Caenorhabditis elegans: one gene and its partner. The protein of the gene in region 2 interacts with the protein of the main gene of each other region in a pairwise test. Each region holds a gene or a part of one and is shown on either strand. Other genes may lie near its edges. The genes, in order: F21D5.4 and srj-14.

Region 1 (3,623 bases), on a different chromosome or scaffold from region 2:
ATTTTCATTTACAGGTTGTCCGAGTAATGTCTGCAGAACCATATGAAACCAAAGAACAATTATCACCGAAATACTATCCAAATCTTCCGATGTTTCATTATTTGACCAAAATGCTACGATTCCATGGACTATTTTTTGATGATCACGTAGTTTTCAGAGATGTTCAAGATAATTTGAAAATTATTCGCGGAAAAGTTGTTCGGCCACCAATCGGTCAAGGAAAGCGTGCACAATTGAGAGGAAAGAAGTAGTGTGGATGTTCTCGAAGTTTAAATCTAGATTAGAAGTTTTGTTGATTTTTTTTTTACGTTTGTTTTAATTGAAAATAAATTCTTTTTGAGGTTTTGCTACATTTTTCCAATAAAATTAAAGTTTTTAACACAGAAAATATCGATTATTGATTTTCTTTTTAATTGCTCCACAAATAATTGGCAGACGTTGCTTTTTTCAGCAGTTTTCAGACTTAGAATTATGAAAAGAGCAATGGATGGAGCAAAAAACGAAGCGAAAAAATCTAAAGGTTTCGATTTTGCAATTTATCTGAAAAAGTTCATCTCCGGTTTACAGATACTGATTTATTTGGACGACCACTGAAAAAGACTGGATCCTGGGAATCAAAGGTTTCAAAAATAAACTTCATTAAAAAAAACTAAAGTCTGATTTTTCCAGGACAACGGCGATTTGATGATTTTCACCCATTCAGAATGTGAAGGAAAAGAGAAAATTGCCGCATTCGATATGGGTAAGAATTGGTCACATTATTTTATTGGCGAGATTTAACTTTCCATGAGTATTCCAAATTTTGATTATGAATATCAGATATGAATTGTTTCAATGGAAAATAACATGCTATAGTTTTAGAAAAATATGAACGATAACAAAAAATTAATAAGATTTCGGAGAACGGTTCACAGATGTTTCGGTTTCTTCTACACTGTCTTCCTTCCCATTAGAATCCTTAATAAGCATCTCCAATTGTTGAAAAATGTTTATTTCTGGCAATTTCGATGATTCATTTGGTTTCTGTTTTACTTCACTCTCTGTGGTTGTACTATTGTTTCCCTCGACTTTTAAACTAGTTTCTCCATTTTCTGCATTAAAATCTTCTAGGAATCCTGAAACATTTCCTTCTGATATATTCTTCCATTCATCACTGTTAATTAGTTCAAAAAGTGATTCTTCAAGCGTTTTGTCTGTTGTGCCATCACTAGTTGATGGCGTTTTTGGGCTTGAACTTCTTGCTTTTATCAATCCGTGTCGAATCATAAATCTTTGAAGCCAACCATTACTTGCCTAGAAAATATTTTATTCGAAATTCGAGTTTAAATGTTTCAAACCTTAAAGTCTGCATTTCCATTAATTTTCTTCGCATATTCCTTGATATCTTTTCCCGAAATTTTCCCGTTTTTCGAAGCAATCCAATCTTCAACTTTCTCATCTAATTCCACATTCTTTAGCGGTCTTCCTGCTCCACCGAGCCTCTTTGCTCCTTGTTTTCCTTCTGATTCGAATGCTAATTCGTGCTGAAATTCCAGAAATTTGTTGATAGAACTACTGTAGTTCAGAAATACCTTCAAATGTCTCCATCGTTGAATACAAGCTCTTGCAACTCCATATTTCTTCTGAGCTTGACAATTATTTGTTTGTTCAGCAAATCGAATAACTTCATTTTTGAATTCGAGTGTAAAATTGGCACGCTTCTTTTTTGGTGGTGGCTCGGATGAAGTTTCAAGTATTTTAGGAGAGATTTCAGTCATTTCTGAAGTTTAAAGCTGAGAATTCTACATTTCGGTTAGAATAGTATTACTCAGATTCGAAATTTTGCGATTTCCTACGCAAAAATGCGATACTAGGTCTTGGCACGACCGAATATCCTTTAAAAAGTACAGTAATCTCCCTGCCTCATTGGTTTGATTTTCCGATTTTCACATTTTTCCCAAAAAAAAATTGTTTTTTGTGAGACAAATCAAAAAATACTAAAATTTTATGCAAAATTCAGGAAAAAAGTCGAAGATGAATAAGTCAGAACAGTGACTCGTAGAGGTTACTGTACTTTTTAAAGGTGCACTTTTTTTCATATAAACTTATTCCGCAGTGTCAAGACCGAGTATCGTATTTTTGCGTTGAAAATCACAAAATTTCGCATCTGTGTAATATTTACATTTGCATCTTTAGAAAAGATAAAATAAATAAATAGAAAAAAATCAATGAATTCTAACGTCAAGAAGAAGGGAGTGCCGTTTTAATAGAGGGTGTCCACACTTCAAGAGACAACAGACAAACATTCAGAGTGTGTATGAAGATGAAGAGACACAGACAAACATACTATGCCTGTCTAATGGAGGGAGGCTGTGACCTACAATTAGAGAACACAGACGACTAGAAATACTGAGTGGTGTATGGATATATTTTTTGATTTTCTTGTTGTTGATGAGTGGGAAAACTCACGTCTTCTATCAAAAGAAAACACATATTTTTGGCGCAGAATTGATAATTTTCACGAAATATGAAATTAGTATCAAGAAACTTGGCCTTACTGAGACTATTCAAGCAGTGAGCCTCTGGCTCGGTACATTTATCCCTTGAACCTAAAATTGTGATGTAATTTCCATTTGATTTTCTTCAAATTAAGTAGTTTGCACAAATTAATAAAAATGTAATACTAATCAATTTTTTTTTTGGTAAATTGCCAAATTTTTGTGGAAATCCCTAAAATTACTGTAGATTCGAACCCCTACAACTATTTTTTGTCGATCTCCACAACAATAATAGATGAAAACCTGAAAAAGGTTAAATTTATGAGTTGTTCTAAACTTTCTAGTGTATGAAAAAAATATTTTTGTTTAAAAAAATCGTATTTTCAGACGGAACTCTGATCAAAACAAAGTCTGGAAAAGTGTTTCCAACAAATTGTCAAGATTGGCAACTTCTATATGACTCAATTCCATCAGATTTCAAAAAATTGCATTCCGACGGATTCAAAATTGTCATTTTCACAAATCAAAAAGGCATCCACGCTGGAAAAGTTGATCGAAATGAATTTAGGAAGAAAATTGAAGCAATTGTTGGAAAACTTGGAATACCTGTTCAAGCATTTGTTTCAGTTGCTGGGGGACACTATAGAAAACCATGTGTTGGTATGTGGAATGAGCTGAAATTGAGAAATGATGAAGTGGAAATTAATGAAAAAGAAAGCATTTTTGTTGGAGATGCTGCTGGAAGAATCAAGACTACAGTACGTGTGAATAGATTCAACTTTCATTTAATTCTAATTTTATAGAGTCGTCCTAAAAAAGATCACTCATACGCAGATCGTTTCTTTGCTGCAAATGTCGGTGTTAAATTTCAAACTCCAGAAGAATTTTTCGGAAAATCGAAAGTTGATGAGCCCTGGGGACCACCAAACTTTGATCCAAAAAATCTATTTTCAGAGGAAATTACTGAACTTGAACCTCATGGTGAAATAAAATTATGAGAAAACATAAATATAATTATATTTTCAGATGCTCAACTTAAATCATCCGAAAAAGAAATTATTCTAATGGTTGGATTTCCCGGTTCAGGAAAGTCGACTTTTGCTAAAATGCTCGGTCATCAACATGATTATAAAGTAAGTTTTGGAG
Region 2 (4,795 bases):
CTTTCACCGTTTAAAAGTTACATATCTGAGAAGCCTGCCAACTCGAACTTTTGGAGTTCTGAAAATTGGACGTTTGTCTGAATATCTATTTCTAGCAAATCTATCAAAAAATTTATAACTACAAAAATAATGACCAGTTATTTCTACACATTTTTGTAGTTGGTCATTTTAAGATATCTTCTTTAGCAACAGAGTTATCGCTCCTATAAGAAAAAAACCGAAAAATGAGATAATTTGATCGAAGAATGATAAAAATTCGTTGAAGAATTAAAAAACTTGTGCGGAAATTGTGTTTTTTTGTTTGATTTCTATAATATTACCATAATAAAAACATTAATATCCATAGAAAATCCATAGAAAACATTTTTTTCGGTTTTCAATTGAATTTTTTTCAATTAAATTATCAAATTTTTCAGTTTTTTTCTTATAGGAGCGATAACTCTGTTGCTATAAAAGATATCTTAAAATGACCAACTACAAAAATGTGTAGAAATAATTGGTCATTATTTTTGTAGTTATAAATTTTTTGATAGATTTGCTAGAAATCGAGATATTCAGACAAACGTCCAATTTTCAAAACTTTAAAAAATTCGAGTTGGCAGGCTTCTCCGATGTGTAACTTTTGAACGGTGAAAGATACCAAAAAGCCGTCTACACATAACTTGTTCATTTTAAAATGCTTAACATTTTTGTAGTTATTCATGAATATAAATCTGTCACGCAGTCCAAGATATACCCCTCTGAAGTAAAAATTGTCATTTTTGCTACTAATTTTCGGTACTTTTTCAAATTTTAAGATATCAAGGAGAGCTTTTCGTTGCCTGATATTTTTAATCTGCGTTATACAAAAGTTTTCCAACTGCGTGAAACACTAACATTTCCATTCAAACCTAAAACCAAACAAATCGAAAAAATTATTTTTTATTCTCGGCCACTCGAAGGCAGATGATGCAGTCTGGAAGTTGCCGGAACTGGTTGGTATTTATAAAATTTTCATTACTCACTGACTTCTATGTAATCACAAAAAAATATTTGAGAAAAAATCAAAATTGAGAAAAAACGAAAAAACTTATCGAACACCCTAATAGTAAGCAGGTGAAAAATGTGCAATATTAATATGCAATTGCAATTTCGTCTGCCATCTGTCTTCTTTCTGAAGTTAACAATGATAGCCGGAACATGGAGGAAATAACGAGAAAAATATGTTTCAACTTTTTGAAGTAACCAATTAGGTTAAACATACTTCCCACGACTGCTCTTCGTACAAATACCATCAGAAAAATAGTTTATTTGATATTGCTCTTTTTGTTCATAGCATTTTTCAAATATATTAGATTACCAATGCGGGAGTTCTAAAATATACAAAGAATTATATCTCAAACTGATGAACTGATACCCATGTTCAACACTGAGTTTTTGGGATAGAATGTGACAGAAAAACTGCCAGAATATCAACAGACATACATTAGATTTTGTCAAACAAACAAGCGCAAACCAAAATCACACAAAACTTTTTTCAGAGATACTTGAGGATTCACGACAGTTGCCCGAGTGTTCAATATCATCTTTTGAAACGTTGATACACATGACACCACTGTGGAAATTTTCAGTAATAGCTTTTTCCTGTCTGCCTTTATTAAATACTTCCAGATCATTTTTTAGAAAATGATTAGTTTTTTGAAATTTGCCTTGATTAGTTCTGTGCTGTTATGAGTGGCTGACACTGCTAGTGTAGTTACAGAAAAGAGCACCAACTGTTCTGTGGAAGCTGCTTATGAAACATTTATGTGTCTTGTGGTAAGTGATGTTCATTTTTTGAAAACTAACCTTTATTACCGTTCTAATTTTCAAATCTGTAATTTAGCGTCTGCGCGACTTTGGAGAAAAAGTAGACCAGCTCGATATGGATAAGAAAAATGAACTGAGGGAGTTTGAGAGATCTTGTGATTCTCTAAACACTTGCTTCTCTAGTCTCCGATGCCGGCCAAAATCCAATGTGAATGTGACAAGATGAATTGCTTCGTATTGTTGAAAAATATTGCGATGCTGTTGTGTACATCTACGAGGATTTTTCCAAATGTAGTGACAAGCTCACCGAAAAAAAGTCAGAGTGTTTCGACAACTGGGACCCTCTTCCAAATGGGATTCATACAGAAGAGGACGCAAAGAAGATTCAGAAAATGAGAGAAGAAGCATGTAAGACATATTTCGGAAAAGATGACTGCTTGAAGAAAGAGATTACGGAAACATGCGGTCAAAAAGAATGGAAAAAATTTCGTGAGGTATGGATATCAACAAGTTTTGTCTTTAAAACAAAATATCAATTTTCAGCATTTTGTCAATCTTTCCTACCAAATTGTTAGCAAATGTGACTTCAGCCGATTTGGATGAGCATGTGGATTTTGTAAAAAATGAACAAATTAGTTTTGATCAAACCCGGGAAAATTGTATTAACTATTAACTACAAAGAAAAAATATGTTTCAGAAACTTGAATTTGAGTTAACCTTCTCTTTGGAAGAAAAGTATTAAATTCCGATTTGATGAGAAATTGAAAAAATTGTAATTGTAAAAATAAAGGTATGATGAAGAAACATGAGCCTCTTATCTTTTTCATCACAGCCTGGTTGTTTGAAACTACGTAACTGTACTAGTTGTTTGATTTGTTTTTAATTTAGTCTGTCTTCCGAGGGGCATGCGGAAATTAATATGGTTCTCTTAAAAACAAATGGAGCTATAGCTATGTGTGCTCATTCGTATTTATGTCTCACTTAGGTTATTACGTTTTCAATTTCTTTTCTTTTTTTTTCAGTTTAGAAATTTTAATTTTTTGAATCTAACACAAATTTCTCAAGTTTAGCATGAATATAAGATGGGCTCATCGATATATTCCCGCGGCATTTGGATATTTGTCATTCGTTTTAAATCCCATACTTGGCTACCTAATTCTCACCGAGCCAAAATCCGCAACAATTGGAAAGTATCGATACTTAATTTTGTTCTTTGCGGTGTTTGACATGGTCTACTCAACAGTAGAGTTACTGGTACCACTGGTAAGATTACTAAGATAAAGATTCATTTCCAGAATTTTTTTTTACAGGGAATGCATGGAACTGGTTCAGCTTTTGTCACGTATCTCGCTCATGGACCATTTTTTGGAAAAGATGTGAGTTGTTAAAATGAACACTGAATGGTATTAACAAAATAATTAAAAATTCAGACTATTCGCCTTGCCCAGTTTGCAATTTCTGTCAGATGTGGTTTCATTGCATTGTCATATGGCATTCTCATCATTCACTTCATTTACCGCTACATCGCTCTTTTCAGGTATCTTGAAATGTTCAGCAATTTATCGATAATCTTTTAAAAATTTAGGCCTCAATTAATTGATGACGTGTTCCGGCCGATGGGAATATGTTGCATGATGACATTTTTCCTGGCCCACGGAGTTGCATGGACTGCCGTTTGCGAGCTGTGTCTGTACGCAAATGATGAAATCAGGGACTACATTCGAACGACTTTCAGAGATGAGTATGACGTCGACTCATATGACATTGCTTTCGTGGCTGCACTTTACATTGTTAGTCATTTCTATAATACAAATTTAATTGTGAATTTTTATATTTGAAGGATGGAAGCAATGAAACAAAAAACAAAAGTTGGGCTGGGATCTTTCTTCTTTTCAGCATTTCTTCGTTCGCTGTTTCGTTTTATTTAATTCTGGGAAGAAAGGTATGAATAAATCGGACAAGAACAAATTGTATCGTTATTTTTCAGATCGTTGTCAAACTGAGAACTCATACTGCACTCTCTCAACAAACTCGAAACATGCACAGGCAGCTCTTCCTAGTTTTGGCATTTCAAACAATCATCCCAGTTTGCATCTGTTTTTCTCCTTGTATGATGGCGTGGATTGGCCCAATGTTCTACTTGGATTTTGGAATGTGGGACAACTACTTTGGGGTCATCGCGTTTTCAGCTTTCCCATTCTTGGACCCTCTTGCTATAATCTGCCTGCTTCCGAACTACAGAACTCGTATAACCGGTGCATCCGTTTTCACATCAGTTTCTCCAGTGATGCCAATCAGTACTGTTCCACCTGTTTTAAATTAACAAACATACATATATTTTTACATATCCGAATAAATAGCTTCTTATATAACTTCTATAACATATGAACTAGTTAATTTTGAGCTGCTCGTCCAAAATGTTAGCTTATGCTCTGCTTCGGAGAGCTTGAAATATATCATAAAATTTGATTAGTCACAAAAAATTAACATGTCGCAATTTTTTTTTGTTGCATTTAGCAATGAATTCATTTTCAAATAATGCGCTCACAATATTGATTAGTTTTTTATTCACATACTTCTTTTTTTTTAACATCGTATGAGTAGACTTAAGAATTACAATAATGGTCAGCACCATACAAAAAAGCGTTGGTTTTTCCATCACAGAATTACGAAATAGATCAACATCAGATTTTTACAGTAATCCACCTTCGCAGTCGGAACTATACAGATAATAATTATTAATACAGCGTTTGGGGTATTGTTGTGTGCCAGCTTAAATAACATTTTTAATTAAAAAATATCATTACTTATCTACAAAAGAACCTGAGTGTTTGACCGTAGTCTGCGACGTCATACATCAGATAGAGACTGGAGTGTTGTGTCGCGCAAGTCATATTACGAGCTTTTGAAAAAAAAAACTTAAAATGAAGTTCTAGAAAATTTTTGGTGGGAAATTAAAACGGAGGAAAAGGATATTACGTAAAAATACAAAGAAAAACAAAATTAA

What was found.
Region 1: the proteins of srj-14 (region 2) and F21D5.4 interact in a two-hybrid assay, tested with the Caenorhabditis elegans proteins (one large-scale study listed by BioGRID).

Annotation. Positions count from the first base shown.
Region 1 is NC_003282.8:8,736,223-8,739,845, reverse strand, and holds F21D5.4 (HTH CENPB-type domain-containing protein), read right to left. Parts: upstream 1,760-3,623; 5' UTR 1,758-1,759; coding exon 1,572-1,757; intron 1,524-1,571; coding exon 1,338-1,523; intron 1,294-1,337; coding exon 886-1,293; 3' UTR 745-885; downstream 1-744. Other genes in the region: mrps-33 (Small ribosomal subunit protein mS33), read left to right, coding at 15-251; F21D5.5 (uncharacterized protein), read left to right, coding at 472-520, 568-620, 670-742, 2,865-3,235, 3,281-3,458, 3,504-3,610.
Region 2 is NC_003283.11:7,367,974-7,372,768, forward strand, and holds srj-14 (Serpentine Receptor, class J), read left to right. Parts: upstream 1-1,734; 5' UTR 1,735-1,797; intron 1,798-1,864; 5' UTR 1,865-2,282; intron 2,283-2,331; 5' UTR 2,332-2,859; coding exon 2,860-3,051; intron 3,052-3,098; coding exon 3,099-3,164; intron 3,165-3,218; coding exon 3,219-3,325; intron 3,326-3,373; coding exon 3,374-3,578; intron 3,579-3,628; coding exon 3,629-3,730; intron 3,731-3,775; coding exon 3,776-4,111; 3' UTR 4,112-4,158; downstream 4,159-4,795.